3 linked regions of the Sus scrofa genome follow. The protein of the gene in region 2 interacts with the protein of the main gene of each other region in a pairwise test. Links are inferred from orthologs where the notes say so. Each region holds a gene or a part of one and is shown on either strand. Other genes may lie near its edges.

What was found. The genes of interacting proteins can lie anywhere in the genome.
Region 1: the proteins of ATXN1 (region 2) and HPCAL1 interact in binary tests that used the Homo sapiens proteins (3 or more experiments, as listed by UniProt). The link is inferred for Sus scrofa from reciprocal best matches to the Homo sapiens genes ATXN1 and HPCAL1.
Region 3: the proteins of ATXN1 (region 2) and ZHX3 interact in binary tests that used the Homo sapiens proteins (3 or more experiments, as listed by UniProt). The link is inferred for Sus scrofa from reciprocal best matches to the Homo sapiens genes ATXN1 and ZHX3.

What each region holds. Positions count from the first base shown.
Region 1 is NC_010445.4:126,107,733-126,113,489, reverse strand, and holds HPCAL1 (hippocalcin-like protein 1), read left to right. Parts: upstream 1-2,314; coding exon 2,315-2,692; intron 2,693-3,361; coding exon 3,362-3,467; intron 3,468-5,181; coding exon 5,182-5,279; downstream 5,280-5,757. UniProt on the Homo sapiens protein: May be involved in the calcium-dependent regulation of rhodopsin phosphorylation.
Region 2 is NC_010449.5:12,727,075-12,733,045, reverse strand, and holds the start of ATXN1 (ataxin-1), read left to right. Parts: upstream 1-2,195; 5' UTR 2,196-5,971. UniProt on the Homo sapiens protein: Chromatin-binding factor that repress Notch signaling in the absence of Notch intracellular domain by acting as a CBF1 corepressor. Binds to the HEY promoter and might assist, along with NCOR2, RBPJ-mediated repression. Binds RNA in vitro.
Region 3 is NC_010459.5:43,855,479-43,861,404, forward strand, and holds the start of ZHX3 (zinc fingers and homeoboxes protein 3), read right to left. Parts: upstream 3,444-5,926; coding exon 590-3,443; intron 1-589. UniProt on the Homo sapiens protein: Acts as a transcriptional repressor. Involved in the early stages of mesenchymal stem cell (MSC) osteogenic differentiation. Is a regulator of podocyte gene expression during primary glomerula disease. Binds to promoter DNA.

The sequences.
Region 1 (5,757 bases), on a different chromosome or scaffold from region 2:
ATTATCATGCTCCATCATAAGTGACTAGATATAGTTCCCAGTGCTACACAGCAGGATTTCATTGCTTACCCATTCCAAAGGCAATAGTTTGCATCTATGAACCCCAGACTCCCAGTCCATCCCATTCCCGCCCCCCTCCCTTGGAACCACACGTCTCTTCTCCAAGTCCATGAGTTTCTTCTCTGTGGAAAGGTTCATTTGTGCCATATATTAGATTCCAGATCTAAGTCATCTCATCTGGTAATTGTCTTTCTCTTTCTGACTTACTTCACTTAGTAGGAGAGTCTCTAGGTCCATCCATGTTGCTGCAAATGGCATTATTTTGTTCGTTAGTCCTTGGGGTCTTAAGTCGAGTCTGGGAGCCCTGGGGTGCGGGTGCTGCTGGGGGTGGGAGGCGCTTTGGACATTGGAAACTGACAACCAAGTTATGTAGTGATTTGCTGGTTTCCGCTTAGGAGGATCTGCCTCAAGTCAAGTCGAGACAGTAAACCCTGACAGTGTAAAAGCAGGGTTTCAGGAAAAAAATGAAAATAAAAAATAAATAAAAGCAGTGGTTCAGCATGACAGAAGCAGGGATGAAGGAAGGGGGTGGGGGATTCATAGCTTGATCTTTTAGAGAGAAGCAAGAGATTCCTCTCAAGCTGCTTGGCCAAGAAACAGAGGATTCCTGTGTATTTATTTTTTGAATAGTAAAAACATATACAAGAGTTCCTGTTGTGGCTCAGCGGTAATGAATCTGACTAGTATCCATGAGGATGCAGGTTCAATTCCTGGCCTCACTCAGTGGGTTAAGGATCCGGCATTGCCAGGAGCTGTAGTGTAGGTCGCAGATGCAGCTCAGACCTAGCATTGCTGTGGCTGTGGTGTAGGCTGGCAGCTGTAGCTCCGATTGGACCCCTAGCCTGGGAACTTCCATATGCCGAGGATGCGGCCCTAAAAGCCACCCCCCCCAAAAAAGGCAAAAAGACAAAACGGAGGGAGTCCTCACTGTGGCTTATCGGGTTAAGAACCGACAGAGCGTCTGTGAGGATGTGGGTTTGATCCCTGGCATCGATAGTGGGTTAAGGATCCCGAGTTGCTGTGAGCTGTGGTCGCTGATGCTTCTTGGACCCTGGCTGTGGCGTAGCCCTCAGCTGAAGCTCTGATTCATCCCGTAGCCCGGGTCCTTATGCCACAGGCATGGCCATAAAAAAAGAAAAATAAATAAAGTGAGATGGCAAAGAGAAAGCTGTATTAATGCCTAGTAGGAGTTACTCCAGGGTCAGTCTTTTTTTTTTTTTTTTTTTTTTTTTGCTACACCCGTGGCGTGTGGAAATTCCCAGTCCAGCGATCAAACCTGAGCCACAGCAGCGACCTGAGCCTCTATCTACAGTGACACCACCAGATCCTTAAGCCTGCAGGGGCCTGAGATTTTACCATGAACACCGAAGACACTGTGGACTCTTGGTGCTGATTCTAGATCCACTCCCCACCCCCACCCCCAACCAGAGGGTCTCTCAAACAAAATCAAGAAGGGGCTCCTTCAAAGTTTTTGGATGCCTGTTCTAAGGATGAAGTCAGAATATGGTGCCTGAGGAGTTCCCGTCATGGCACAGTGGAAACGAATTCAACTAGGAACCATGAGGTTGCGGGTTTGATCCCCGGCCTCACTCATTGGGTTAAGGATCCAGTGTTGCTTTGAGCAGTGGTGTAGGTTGCAGACGCGGCTTGGATCTGGTATTGCTGTGGCTCTGGTGTAGGCTGGAGGCTACAGCTCCGATTCGACCCCTAGCCTGGGAACCTCCATATGCCATGGGAGCGGCCCTAAAAAGACCAAAAAAAAGAAAAAGAAAAAAGAGAATATGGTGCCCGAAAGAGAAAAGCACGGCTCAGAACAGGGGGTGTGGGGTGCAGTCAGCGTGACAGTATCGCCTGGAGCTGACGAGGGCGGTGAGAGTAAGGATTCCATCCTTAAGTCTTGTACAATCCCCAGTGGGCCTCATTCTCTCGATTTCAAGTGGCCATTTTTCCACATCTCCACCTTCTGGAAGTAGGGTATTCCTTCCAGTGTGAGGTCGGCTGGCCCTGACTCCCTGGAGCATCCCCGCCTCCCTAGGGGTACACTGCACCGCCACCGCCCCGAAGGCATCCCAGCCACGCTGAGACGTCTCATCACCATGATGGCCAGAGTCCGGCCTGTCCAGCCCTGGGTGCGAGACAGGCAGGGGACGTTCCTCCGGCCCACTCAGCGGCTGCCGGCAGTGGGGCGCCCTCCCCGGCCCCGAAGTCCCCAGCTGGGCCCCCTGTCTTGCAGGTGTCGCCACCGCCGGCCGTCATGGGCAAGCAGAACAGCAAGCTGCGGCCCGAGGTGCTGCAGGACCTGCGCGAGAACACCGAGTTCACGGACCACGAGCTGCAGGAGTGGTACAAGGGCTTCCTCAAAGACTGCCCCACCGGCCACCTGACCGTGGACGAGTTCAAGAAGATCTACGCCAACTTCTTCCCCTACGGCGACGCCTCCAAGTTCGCCGAGCACGTCTTCCGCACCTTCGACACCAACGGCGACGGCACCATCGACTTCCGGGAGTTCATCATCGCGCTGAGCGTGACGTCGCGGGGCAAGCTGGAGCAGAAGCTCAAGTGGGCCTTCAGCATGTACGACCTGGACGGCAACGGCTACATCAGCCGCAGCGAGATGCTGGAGATCGTGCAGGTGCGTCTCCGAGGCCCCGCCCACCCAGGGCTCGGGGCCGCCACGCCCGTAGCCGTGGCCGTGGCCGTGGTGATGGTGGCAGAGCCCGGGTTTCCTCGGGCCCCTTGGACAGAGACGCACGGAGGTGGCCGGCGGGGCTGCTGAGCCCTCCCATGGCAGTGTCCCAGAGAGCAGGTGCTCGGTCCTTTCTGGGGCTAGTGAGATGGTTCTCCTTGCTGGGTCTCAGGGTCTGAGTCTTTTTTTTTTTTTTTTTTGGCTTTTAACGGAGGTGCAGCCATCCCGTAGTCAGGTGTTTGAGGCCCGGCGTGCCGCGTGATGGGCCGTGCCCGCGTCTGGCCGGGTCCTCCCCCTCCGCCGCAGTCCAGCCCGCAGAAAGCCCGAGAACTGCCCCGCCTCCCGCCCCCAGACAACCCCTGTCTTACAGCCATCACCTCGGGTCATTTCCTCTGTTCTTGAACTTCACGTAAATGAGTCCGGCTTCCTCTGGCTCGTGTGCTGTCTGCCATATCCTTCCTCGCTACTGGGAGGAGCGGGCAACTTTCCAGCTAGGGAGGGGTCCGCAGCCCCGACTGCTGTGGGCGAGGCCGAGGCGGCAGCTCGCGCCTGGGCCCCACCCGTCCAGGGACACCCCGGAATCGCTGAGCACGAGGTGTGTGTGCCCCTTTGCAGGCCATTTACAAAATGGTGTCGTCGGTGATGAAGATGCCGGAGGACGAGTCCACCCCTGAGAAACGCACGGACAAGATCTTCAGACAGATGGACACCAATAATGACGGTAAGACCCCGGCGTCAGTGCCTCGGAGCACAGATGCGTGTGGGAGCCTTCCCTCCTGCTCTGCAGCTTCTCGGGCCTCACCCAGCCATGCAGCTGCATTCAGGGAAGAGCCGGGGTTCGGAGTCCGGGTGCCTGGGTGAGCGTCCTGCCCCCCTGATCTGTAGTCTCCTTGCTTCTAGAACCGGGGGACGGTAGGCCCCGGCTGTCCAGGGAGAGGCGCAGGTGCAGTGTCACCGCGCCCTGCAGGGGTGGGGACCAAGCGTCCCATGTGGTGGGGCCCTGGGAACTGCATCCCTTTGCTCTCATTATCCTGACTGGAGGGCTCCCAGTGGCCCCAGGGACTCTGCGGGGAGGTGCTGGCTGGAGCAGCTGTGCGGGGCCTCTGGGCTCATGCCACGGCAGAGGTGGCGCTTCCAGGAGGGGCGGTGGCAGCCGCACAATGAGGACTCAGTGTGTTTCCTGCTCTGCACTGGCTGCGAGCTTCTGCGGGGCCCACAGGGGGAGCGTAGCTGTGAAACTCCACGGGTCTACGCCTCTTAAGCAGTGTTAAGTGCCGTCCCAGAGCCTGGTCCGATTTGCTTTTGATCAATAAAGAAATGCAGCATTTAGACAAGAAAAAAGAGAAAATACCCCCTGGGCTGTGCTGGAGATGGAAAATAAGCAAATGGACAGAAGCGTGCTCTCTAGACCCCGAAGTGAGGTGCGAGGAGGAGGCCGAGGGCTGCGCCCTCGGGGGAGGGGTGCAGCGGCGCGACCGCAGCTGGAGAGCCTCTTATGCAGAGGCAGGAAGTGGGCTCCCCAAGGCACAAGTTGCCACAATGCAGGGTCTGCTTCAAACTCGGTCCCTCCCACATCTGTATCCTGGGAGCATGTGTTTGGCGCCAGCGTCGGTGGCTCTGGAACTCACCTTTCTACGGCACCCGGTCCCAGGAGTAACAAGGTCCTCGATGCAGGAGGCACCGAGGACGAGGCAGGCACCAGCAGGCCCTTGGCAGGCCTCTGCCTAACCCTCCCACCCCGCAAAGCAGGTAGTGCAGGAGCAGGAAGGGGACTCAGCCGGAGCAGCGGGCCGAGCCTCCGCCAATGGATGGCCAAGCTGGACGGGCCGGAACCACACCCCGGGCAGTGGCTGGGAGGCTCTGGATTGGTTATGGGCTAGAGACAGAGGCCATGTTCTTTCCGGACAAGACACGTCGTTCTTAAATAAAGCGTGGAGAACTTTCTAGAAGGATTTAGCTTGCCCCACCAGCCACAGCGTGCAGCCATACTGGGGACAGCCTTTGAGGGGCCCCGTGCTGTGCCACGAACAGTGAAAGCCAAAAAGGGTTTTCCAGAAATGCTCTTTTTTTTCTTTTCTTTTTTTTTTTTTTTTAATGTTAGGGCCGTACCCACAGCATATGGAAGTTCCCAAGCTAGGGGTTGAATCAGAGCTGCAGCCACCGGCCTACGCCACAGCCACAGCAACAGCAGATCCAAGCCGCATCTGTGACTTACAGCTTGCAGTCACGCCAGATCCTTAACCCACAGAGCGAGGCCTGGGATCGAACCCGCATCCTCATGGATACTAGTCGGGTTCTCACGCTGAGCCTCAACAGGAACTCCCCAGAAATGCCGTTGAAACGAGTGGAGCCTGGACAGCATCCAGGACTCAAGGGCGCGTGGGGACAGTGACACAGGAATGGTGACAGCACACTAACTCCCATTTCTCCCCCAGGCAAACTGTCCCTGGAAGAATTCATTAAAGGTGCCAAGAGCGACCCGTCCATCGTCCGGTTGTTACAGTGTGACCCCAGCAGCGCCAGTCAGTTCTAAGGGCCCGGCATGTGGACAGTGCAGAGAAACACAAGCTTGTCTTGCCATTTAAGCTTTGCTTGCGACAGTGGATGCCTCCTCAGTCATTCCTGCTCTCCCAGGGCAGCCAGGCGCCGCGTGGCACCTGCCCGCCCGGCGGCCGCGCCTCCCCCCCTCCGCCCGGCCTCCTCCCGCCCCCTCCCGGGTCCCTCCTGGGCGACTCCCCGGGATGTGTTTACACGCAGGGCTCCCAGCATCCTTGCTTCTGGGCCACCTCCCGGCCTGCAGGGAGCCCAGAGGACGCGCCGAGGATACTGGCGGGACTTTTCTAAGATCGCGCCAAGGCCAGCCGACTTCTCTTGTGATCGCAGGTGACTCTGGGAAAGATGGAGACAAGAATGGAGGGAACATAGACGGGCAGCCCCCCCCACTCCCTCTCCTCCCCCCACCCCGTGCATGGCTCCACCCAGCTCGTTCGTTCCTCTCTGACCAAAGCCTC
Region 2 (5,971 bases):
ACGAAGTCCAAGATCAAGTAAATAGAATATGTACCACAATGCGGACAAGATCCATCGGTTTGGTTTTGGATGAGCTTCTCATGAGAGAAGTGTCGTGTGTTGTGGCCTAAGGCTTTGCACATCGGAGGTCCTGAAAAATATTACTGATTCATTAATTCATGTAATGGTTGATGAATCTTTAGTAGGTCTATCAGTGAATAAGACAGACAAGATCTCTGCTCTCCTGACAATAAACAAACAGGAAATGACTCAGAATGTTCTAAGGCAACACATCGATGGAATACTAGAGCAGGGCAGGGTGGATCAGGAAAACTGGGGGATACAATTTTAAGTAGGGAGTCGTGTGAATATTCAGGGAAAAGCACTCCAAGCAGAGGGACCAGTGAGTAGAATGACCCCGAGGAAAGAGAGCGCCTGGCTTTTTTTGCGGAACAGCAAAGGGGACAGTGGGGCTGGAGCTGTGGAGTGACAAGAAAAGAGAGGGGACACTGGATCTGAAAGACAAAGAGATTGGGTGGGGCCTTGGAGGCCATGGGAAGATTTTGACTTTGACTCCAAGTGGAAGCGCAACATCAGATGCTTTTGAGCAGAGTTGTGGCATCACCTGATGCAGATGCTCAGTCATGGTGTGAGCTGGTCCTGCCGGAGGCAGAGACAATGCAGGAGGCCAGTGCAATAGTTCTGATGAAGGATGGTGGCAGTTCAGTTTTCCAGGAGTAGCAGCCCAAGTAAGTGAGAAATGGTCAAATTCTGGATACATGTGGAAGGTAGAGCCAGTTGGCTTTGGAGGCAGAGTGGATGTGGGTGGGGGATGTGAAAAAGAGGAGTCAAGATGCTTTAGGGCCTGAGCATTTGGAAGGATGGAGCTGCCATTTACTGAGATGTGTGTGCAAGAGCTGTATTATACATCTCACAGTGACTCGGAGAGAACAGCTGCCTTGGGAGTGTGGGCTTGAGTGTAAGGCTTCCTTCTACCTGCTGGGGAAAACCTCTTGAAACAAATGAGCTCCCGGCTGTGCTTTGAAAGATGAGGCTCGGAAAGACTGAGGTTTTCACAAGTACTTTTGTAAGACTCAAATGCACAGTTTAAAAAAAGCATCAGTTCGGGGGTTGTATTTCCTCCTCTGTGCCAAACAGTTCATTTAGTTTTTTTAGTCTTTTCCTCACCCCCACCCCAACTCCACAGGCTGAAATGCCACTTCTGAAGAGCAGAGCTGCTGGTGCATCCTGGCACCAATAGAGGGAGCTGAGAAGGCCTCCGGAAGACCTCTGAGCTGAGGCCCAGGGCTGGACACTGCCTTCTCTCCAGCCTCTAGCAACCTCTGTGCTTCTGGCTAGAAGCCAGGTGTTTCTGGGAGGATGGGGAAGTGGTTCTAGAACTCTCTTGACAATTTTCCTATTCTACTGAAACTTTTGTTTATGGCCGTTGTCATGGGTAAAGGACCAAACACATATGCATCCAGAAGTGATCACCTGTGTGTATCCATAGAGGAAAGAGATAAGGCCCTAGATGTAAATAAAGAGAAGAAGGAAGAATGCAACAGATGGAATAAAGAGGGTGTATGGGGCTGCTATGACAAGTGACCACAAACAGGGTGGCTTAAAACAAGAGAAATGTACTCTTACAGTTTGGGAGGAGAGAGGCCCCAAATCAAGGCATCGGGCCTTGCAGGGCCTTGCTCCCTCTGAAGCGCTAAGGAAGAATTCTTCCTTGCCTCTTCCAGCTCCTGGTGATTGCTGGCCAGTCTTGGCTTTCCTTGGCTTGTGGCTAAATCACTTCCATCTCGGCCTGTCTTCGCAGGGCCTTCTTCCCCTTCCCTGTGTCCCCCGGTCTTAGGAGAATAGCGGTCAGGTGGGATTTAGGGACCACCCTCATCTGGTAAGACATCTTAACTAATTACATCTTAATTCCAGATAAAGTCACTCACTTTCCTAGGGTGCAAGGACTTCAACATATCTTTCAGGGGAGCACAACTCCACCCACAACAGAGGGCAACAGGAACTTACCCTGAGAGCCCACCTGTGGGGGAAAACACATAAATGGAGCAATAAAAGGAAAACAGTTACATGTGAAATTCTAAGTGGAGGTCAAATGGATTTGGGAGTAACAGGAAATATTAGATAAGAGAAGCTTTCACTTGGGATACGCTCTCCATCTGTGCTTATGGCCTTGATTTTTTTTTTTTTTCCCTCTCAGAGTTAAAAAAAATACTGTATAAATAAAAAGAATAAGAAAATAGCACTTCTCTGACTCACACATTGGGCAGAGCCGCAAATTCTTGTGATAATCAGGAAAGACTCCACGGAAGGGTTGGTGCCTGAGCTGGATCTCGGAGGATGAGGATAAAATCGCCATGTAAAGGAGGACTTCCCAGATAGAGAGAAAGTATATGCCAAAGGCCCAGTGTCACTTCAGTGATCCACCCTTTACTGCCTGAAATAGGGTGAACAACCTCTCAAGGCAAGGCGCAGACCGTCTGCTTGATCTGTATTACTCAGAAACAGGATTAAATACAGGAAGGGGCAAACATGTTGCTGGTTTTAATAAATGCACACAGAAGCACACAGTAACCTAAAGAGACAGGAGAGCAGCATCTCTAAGGAAGACTTCATTCTTGGGCACATTTGCCAAAGCACAAATATGGAAACCCCACCCTCAGCCAGAGCTGGAGAAATCAAAAGGCTGATGTGGTATAAATTCCTCTGCCCTGATTGCATAAGGAGATCTGCCAACATTTTTTTCTCTGATATATTCCTTGCTGCACAAAGAGCTGAACTGGGTTTTTAAAACCTGATCGTGAACCGAGATAGGCAATTCTGAATCATCACCAGGATCTAGGAAAATTAACCCTCACCGATCTTCCCAGATAAGCACCCAAGCTTGCTGCCTCTGAGATCTGCTGCGGGGTTCTGGCTAGGTTCCTGTCACAGAGAGACTCCCCTTTTTTGGCATAAGAATGTACAAGATGCCAGTAAAGTTCACACTGGGTCATCGAAGGCTCTTTAAATGCACGGTGATTCATTGCTGGGGGTGGGGGAGCGACGAGAGGGAGGGGGAAGGAAGTGCTGAGCAGAGAGGCGGAGCGAAGTAATTATGAAATTGACTGCAGAAAAAGCTCGCGCTGGGAGTGACGGGGGTCACGTGTTCCTACTATTGGTATTTCGGCTACAACTTTCAAACCCGAGGCAGGGGGGAGGGGTCGGGAAACCTCACCTTGCCTCTTGATTGGCTTTCGGAGGAGATGCTTCAGATGCCTGGCATATTTATTAGAATTACAACGGAGCATTAATTTCTCTTTTTATCTGACAAAGAAGAAACGCTCTCCCATGACAGTCCGGTTAGCAGAACAAAAATCTGGCTGTACTGGTATGAGTGAACAATTTGTCTTCTTCTTCTTGATTTACTCCGCATTCTAGCTGACAGGGTCTTCCATTCTGCGCATTCATTTTGTACTTAAAAAGGGATTGTTTGTAATTTACAGTTTAAGGCTGAGGGCCATTATTCTGCGCTGTCAGAACGCATCTGCCGCAGGAGCATCGTTTCAGCCTGTGCCAGGGCACAAAGCAAGCCCTGATCGCCAGTCAGCTTGAGAGCTCCCTGGAGACTCCAGCCCTTAAACTTTGGAGAGGCCTGGCCCACAGGGGTTCTGCAAATATCAAACTGCCTGACAACCCCCGCTGAAATCCTGACACACAGTTTCCTCTTTGTGTCCAAAAGCAAACTTGGCCAGTGCCTCTTCTCTAACTCTTCCTCTTTGGGGTAAACTTGGTAAATTCCTCATAAAATAATTGTCTTAAACTCGGACCCTCCTGTGGGTCAGTTTTCCTAGCTGATGGGTGACTCAAGAAAAACAAACCGACAGAGCTTACAGCTAGATATTTTAATATCCTGTAGTTAGAGTCACAAAGACCTTCCCTCTTTCCCAAACAGTTTGATGTGTTTTGTTTTGTTTCTTTCAGTCCGTTGTAGCCCCTGATCTCAGTCTGCAGACACCCTAAGCTTAACCCCTACAACCCATCAACTGCCATCATCTTAAAGTGTAAACAGTGGTGGCTTTGGGCTTTGATTTTAATTTGGAAAATGTATTTCTTTTGAGGAAACAAAATGCCAAGATGTTAATGAAATGCTTTTAATAGATTTCCAAATGCTCCCAGCCAATACCAGGCAAAGTTCAACTCACTCATTCTAAGCCTCAAACTGTTGTTCATTTTCTTTTCCTGTAAGAAGGGCTATGTCCTATAGATGATTAAAACCATAAATTCTGTTATTTCATAGGTCATTACATTACATTCAGTCTTGGTTGTAGTTACATTGACGAAAATTTATCTAGGTCTTGCTTGAAAAATAAATAATAATGGTTAAAAATCATCTCATTTCCTTTTGACGTGTCCTATTAGACTAAGTATATGAGAAAGTGTTATATATAAAAAAAAAGACAGATTTCCTTTTGGTGGCCTTGATTTGTTTTCTAGTTAAGCAGCAACTGTATACTTTTCATTATTCATGCCCAAAGCCATCTGTCATTAAAAGGTAACACCCCCAACCATTCAGCCACAAGCTGCAAATCCAGCTATAACTCCAGAATACATAGCTTTCCATCAGCTTCCCAGGGTGGCACAGTGTCTGGGATCCTCTCTCCCCTTCTCCCCCCCCCAAAAAAAAACCCACACCAGATCTAACAAATTTTTAGTCTAACAGACAAATCTAATAAATTTCTATTTTGTGGGCCCATGCCAGATCTACCCAGGAGATTATTCCTTCACCACCAGCTTACTCTCAGAGATCATTTTAACAAAGGTTAAGGTCCATGTTATACACTGCAAGGGGGAAATCTCAGGAAGGTTAAAAAAAAAATAACCCAGTTATCTACTCCACTACTGCAGAGTCATGCCAGGATCTTAAGGTCTCCAATTAGTTCTTAGAACTAATTCCTGCACCTCCCCAGCCTCATTATTTATACCAGAGTGGTCCATTAGAAAAATAATGGACACATGTCATTTTAAATTTTATAATAGTCACACTCGGAAGTAAAAAGAAACTGGTAAATTAACTTTAACGGTATATTTTATTTAACCTGACTTAGGCAGAATATTTTCATTTTAATCGATACGAAAATTCTTGAGATACCTGTATATGTGTACACTTGTGCATTTGTGTGTATGTTCTAAGTCTGACATTTAAAGTGTATGTTACACGTATAACACATCTCAATGGCTGAAGTCATATTGAACAGTGCAGACCTATCTGAAAGCACTTGTTTTTGGTTTTAATTGTAGACAGAATCTTATTTAAAATTCCCTACTGTGTGTACTGTTACATCATAAACTGTTGGCAGATGTTTAAGTACAATGATTTTAATTTCACTCTTGACTAGTGGTGATGTCATTTTCATTACCCAGAAGCCTATGCTGCTACAGTTTGGTGGAGGGTCAAGAAAGATGATTCAGAAGTATGTACTTTAAGAGTCTCTGTGCCACAAACAGAGGCCAGTGACTTCAGTCTGGGTGTGGTGAGCTGACCTCAGAGTCTATTGTGTGAGTGGTTTTCACTTTTGTTTTTAGTTTATTTTACTTTTCTGGTGTCTCTAGCTTTATTTGTCAGTGCAGTCTAAAGAAAGTATATTGGTTTTGCAAGCACACTGTCATTTGCTCGGATTTTTAAATGACATGTGTGGGATAATATCTTCCTTATAATACCATGGTTAAAGGTCTGTCAGTGTTTCCATTAAAAATTCAAATCTTTGGATTTATTACCCAGCCATAACAAATTGCTCCAGGCAAATCTTTCTCTAGCATAGGAGGAAATTCTTTTTAATAATTTTTTTGTTGTTGTTGTTTTTGTCTTTTTGCCATTTCTTGGGCCGCTCCTGCGGCATATGGAGGTTCCCAGGCTAGGGGTCCAATCGGAGCTGTAGCCACCAGCCTACGCCAGAGCCACAACAACGTGGGATCCGAGCTGCATCTGCCACCT
Region 3 (5,926 bases), on a different chromosome or scaffold from region 2:
GCTTCCAACTGTCTTCAATAAAAATAATTTTCTAAAACTTTCTTTGAAGTACTAATGCCATGATCCAGAGAAACTAAGTAAAAAATTCAAGCTTTCGATTCCATTATAAGAGGGAAGCCAGTCCTTCACTACCTCTATCTACACCAGGAAGAATAAGAGAAATGCAAACTACAGGGTTTTCATCACTGGGAAAAAAAGAAAAACCACTTCACGTATCTCAGGTCAGTTAAAGGCATTCTCTGCTTCTGTTCACCAGTTTGGGCTGAATCTCCTCAGAGGTGCCTTCTCTCTCCTATGCAGTGGTTGTGGCTCTGTCCGGTTCAGATGACATTCTGACCTATTCTCCTTGGGCTAAGGAATGGCTAGAGAGGTGTGGGCCTTTGTGGGTTCACTGTGCCCCCCTGTGCACAGATTAACCAACATGGAAAGTGATAAAAAGCCAGCTCTCAGCCCATGGCCGTATGGCGCTCTGATGGCTCCTCCTGCCAGACAGCCTTGGAAATTGGAGATGCCCTGGCACTAGATTCAGTACCTGCCACCGGTGCCTCCCATACCCACAGAGGACAGCACAGCCGCAAGGGCCCCTTACCCAGCTGAGGTCCAGCTTGGGGACTTGGTGTGTCAAAGGGTTCAGAGCTGGCCTCAGGGGCACCGGGCTCCCACGACTCACTGTTTTCAGACACCTCCAAATAGGTGTCGCCCATCCCTCTGTGGACCATCGCAGGGTCGCCAGCGCCGGGACCCTGGCTCTCACTGGCCGTGTCGGCCACGGCCCGGGTCTCCTCGCCCATCTTCTCAGCAAACCACTGCTTGACCTGCTGGGCGCTCATCTGGGTCTTGTCGCAGAGGCCCTGCAGGTCCGCCTCGTACAGCATCTTGTGGGTCACATAATAGTCTTGCAGCAGCTCCCGGTTGTTTGGGGCGATGACCAGCAGCCCGGGGGGGAAGTTGCCCCGCTTATAGTCTTCGTACCACTTGAGCTGGCCATTCTTCAGGGCGTACCTGCTGTCCCCGAACCAGCGCACCACCTCGGGCCGCGGCAGGCCCGTCTGGGCCATGATGGAGTCATAGTCCTGGTTGCTGGGCCACTGCGTCTGCACGAAGAGCTGCCGCAGCAGGTGCCGCTGCTGGGCTGTCTTCTTGCAGCTCACCTTGCCCGAGGGCTGCTCCGCCAGCTTGCTGGGCACGTCGTCCTCGGGCTCGCAGGTGCCCAGCCCCAGAAGCTCGCTCTTGCCATTGGCCTCTGTGACCCGCAGGTTCTTGAGATTGATTTTGATGGGGCTGACTTTGCGTTCTGCCAGCGAGTGGCTGCCGAGCACTTCCGGGGAGCCACTTTCACCTGGGACCTTCAGGTCACCGGCCGAGCCCTCCTCCCCCTGCTCCTCGGCGGCCTCCTCCTCCCCCTGGGAGGCACCCTCCTCGGCCTTCTTGGCCTCTTCGGCGCTCACCTTTTTCCGTCTCTCTGAAAACCAGCCATCAATCTCTCTGCGGGTCATTTTGGTCTCGGTCCTGAGGCGGTCCAGTTCCTCATCAAGAGGAAGGGGGTTTTGTGCAAAACTGCTCTCCAGGGCTCTGAGCTGCTCAGGGGCTCGCTCCTTGTATTTGGTTGGTGTGAAATCAGGGGTCTGGTGCCAGGACTGTCTCTTGGCAGAAGGGGGGGTGGCCAGGGTGGCTGCTGTCGGGACGCAGGTCACCTCTGGGGCCTTGGACGATGGGGAGAAGGCCACCTCCGGCCCGGAGTCGACGAGGAGGGAGCCGTGCTCTCCGGGCAGCCCGGCCCTGGAGCCTTTCAGGTTCCGGCAGTGGTACCTGCGGTCACTGAACCACTTCCGCACCTCTCTGGTGCTGAGGCCGGTCACTTTGGTCAGGTGCTCAACTTCGCTCTGTCCTGGGAACTGGTTCCGGCAGAAGCTCCCTTTCAGAGCTGACAGCTGTTCATGCGATTTCTTGTTTTTGTAGATGCTGGCATCGAGGAAGGCCTGGGAGGTGATGCTGGGGCACGCTGTGAGGAGGGACTGGGCTGCGTTCACCACCTTCACGGCCGATGTTGTATTTGAACACACAGTGTTGATGGGCGCAACAGAGGGCGGCTTGGGGACAGATGTGACTGCCAGCGGGAGGGACGAGCTAGGTGCCTGCAACCCATTGGCCATCAGTGGCTGAGTGACCAGAAGTCCCCCGGCTGTGCCCTCTGGCTGGCCCACCACGTGGCCCGGCAGAGCGGCCTGGATGAGATGTTGGACGTTGCCGGCACTGGCGACCAGCGGGGTGTTGAGGACGGTGATCGTGGGCTGAGGGACAGACTGGATGACCGTGTTGAACATCTTCTTCCGGGCGTCCTCAATCTCCTCCGGGGACCAGCTGATCCCCTGCTTCAGCCTCTGGGCGGTGAACCAGATCTTGAGCTGCTCTTCCGGGTACTTGGTGACCACAGTCAGGTAGCAGAGCTCGGCTTTGGTTGGGTAGGGGAACTTGTGGAAAGAGTTCTTCAGGAAGCTGTTGGAGTCCATGGCCGCGTTGTACGTGGGGATGCTGCTCAGGGGGATCATCACCTTGGGCAGGGACTTGGCCGTGGGCAGGGGCTGGTGGGCATGGTGCTGGGTGTGCGGGGCTGGCTGCTGGAGGGAGAGAAACTGGGCGATGCCCGCGGGCAGCACTGGCACTGTCCCCAGCAGGGGCCCGTTGGCCACGTGGGGGGGTTTTGCAGAGTTGGTAGAGGCCTGGCTGACGGGGGCCGCCCCGTTGACAAAGGCTTGGTCCCCCTCTTTCACCTCCGTGTCCCCAGCAGAAGGGTTTGATGAGGCCTCCCCGGTGGGCTGACTGGGGACGTTCTCCTTGAGCGTGTGAATTTTTTTGGCTTCAGCTTTGCCTTTCATTATCTTCATGATTGGAGTTTTGGTGATGATGATTTCAGCCTGTCCATCGGTCCCTTCCACGCTGGGCTCCCCCAGGGGGTCGGGAGGGCTGCTGTTCTCAGGGAGGCTCTGCTCCACGATTGCATGATTGTCTGGCTTGGCCACATTCCACACAAAGCTGGCTTCCCCCGAGTGGCACTTGGCATTGTGCAGAGAAAGCCCTTCGGGGGTTTTTGCCAGAAAACTGCATTCGGTGCATACAAAAGTTGGGTCTTTGTTAAAGTCTGTGTGCTCTGAGTTCAGATGTCCCACAAACTGGGTTATGTCCTGGGATCTGAAGTCACAGTATTTACAGGCAAACGAGTAGCCATCCAAGGCGCTCCGGTGCCCATTGGCCAGCGTGGCGCCATCAGGACTACTGGCACCCTGGGCGGCCTCGCTGCCAGTGGCTGGTGCTTCTGGGGCCGGCTCCTGCGGGGGCCCCTCGGGCACAGCCTCTGCGGGTGGAGCCTCGGTGCTGGCATCCTGCAGCACCACAGTCTTCACAGGGATCATGCACGGGGTTGTGGACTTCCTCTTGCTGGCCATGGTGACAGTGGCGCTAAGTGGTCAGTGGGCGACAGCTCGTCCCGTTGGAGGCCTCACAGCACAGGTTCCAGCTGCTCCATGAGGACCAAAGAAACAACTTCCAAGGGCGGTGTTTTCAGTTGTTTGCAGAAAGCAAGTTTTTCCTGTCAAACCTGAAGAGGGGGAAAAAATGGTGAGGCTCTCTCGAGCTATTTCCCAGATTCCCATCCTCCACTGCTTGCCCGCCATCATCCAGGACTTGTCACAAGGAATCCTACAATGGCTTGGATGTGATGCCTGGGTCAGGAGCTCCCCAAACACTCACAAAACAGTGCCCTGAAGAATGACACGGGGTTGTTCCAACACTACTGGACAGACTTCAGTCGTGTGTTTGGTTTTTTTCTCTTCACAGCCGCACCTGCAGCATATGGAGGTTCCCAGACTGGGGGTTGAATCGGAGCTGCAGCTGCCAGCCTACAGCACAGCCACAGCAGTGCCGGATCCGAGCCACAATCTCGACCCATGCCCCAGCTTGCAGCAACGCAGGTTCCTCAACCCACTGAGCGAGGCCAGGGATTGAACCCATATCCTCATGGACATGATGTTCTTAATCCACTGAGCCATAACGGGAACTCCAACCAAGTGTTTTTGCTTTGTGTTTCCCTCTGGGTCCTTGCATAAAGTAACACAGATTCAAAAACAACAACAAAAATAACTGCTTCTGGACCTCCAAATGAATTGTGACCATATCAGAGGGAGAACAAAAGAACCCAGTGTAATTCTTGTTTAAATGTTTGGGCCAACAAGGGCTTTCTTTTCACAGCCTTCCCACACAGGAGGATGGGACGCCGCCTCTGCCTCTCCCGAGCCAGGCCCAGAGGCCAAGTCCGATGCTGTCTGTGTCCTGGGGACGGGGCGCTGCTGCTACAAGAGCCAGGCTGTGGGGACCTGTCATCCCCCCGACCCCGTTCCAGGCTGTGGAAGAGAGATCACCTCACAGTTACTGGCTGTGCCTGGACTGCTGATGCTCAGCGAAGTGCGAGGTCAGAGAGTCAGCAGCTTGTGGCCCAGCAATCGTACATCTCTCTCGGGGGCAGCAACTCCACGTGTGGCCTCACCCTGGGAGTGCGGGCTACACATGACCTTGATTAGGCTTACTTTTTATTTCTTTCGGTGCTTCTATTGTCTTTAAAAACAAAGCAAAACAAACCCTTAAATCTTTGTTCCATTTGAAATTTATTTCGAAAGCTGGGATGATTGATTTATTTACATATAAGACACTTATAATAATCATTCTTTCATGAGATGTCAGGAGAAAAGTGTTTTTATGATCTCTGTTATTAACCTAACACCACCACAGTTGTTATTACCTTTTTTTAGCAAACTGTAATGCTGATAATCCTAAAATAATAGTAATTCTAATGCCAGAATCATGCCATCATCAGTGTTTGGATTTGGTAGAAAAATATAAAGAAAATTAAAATATCTCTATTTAAATTTTTTTTTTTTTTTTCTTTTTAGGGCCATACCTGTGGCAATCGGAAGTTTCCAGGCTGGGGGGTCGAATCTGAGGTACAGCTCCTGGCCTATGCCAGAGCCACAGCAACATGGGCTCTTAGCCACGTCTATGACTTACACCACAGCTCACGGCACTGCCAGATCCTTAACCCCCTGAGCAAGGACAGGGATCAAACCAATGTCCTCAAGGATACTAGTTGGATTTGTTACTTCTGAGCCACAACAGGAACTCCTCTATTCAAATTCTTAGTAAATAAACACAGCAAACAGTTTTTTCTGTTATTTTTTTAAGACATTCTTATGATCATGATGATAAAAATAATTACTATTAAAAAGACAGTCAGGGTGAGAAAAGGATAAACATATACCCAGGTGTATCCACTTGTTACCATTTTCCCCACTGATGTGAAATGTCATGCACTTTTAAACTTAATTTTTAATTGCAAAAATAAAAATGTCAATATTAAACAAAATTTAAGAAAACCACCTATACTTTTATATACTTTCCATCTAGGTCAAATATTCTACACATATTTTAAATAATTAAGGGGCACACACCTATATTTTGGTTTTTTTCACTAAACACTTCATCATAAAGTGTCATTAAGTAAGCTTCATAATTGCAGTATTCAACAGCTGTCTAATACTGTACCATTAAGGACTTAACTCATTGTCCTCTACTATCAACAGGCTTCCAGCATCCCACTCTCATACGTGAAATGACTGCTGGGCATATAGGATGCATTTCTTCTGTCAAATCATTATCTGAAGCTAAATGCACAGAAATGGATTCACCAGCTCAGTGAGTATCAACATCTCTAAGCTCTTCTGTATATTACTGATAAACATTTTAAATCAAGTGCTTTGTCCCTGATTAGATTTCTTTTTTTTGCTTTTTAGGGCCGCACCCGTGGCATATGGAAGTTCCCAGGCTAAGGGTCGAATCAGAGCTGTAGCTGCCAGCCTATACCACGGCCACGGCAGCA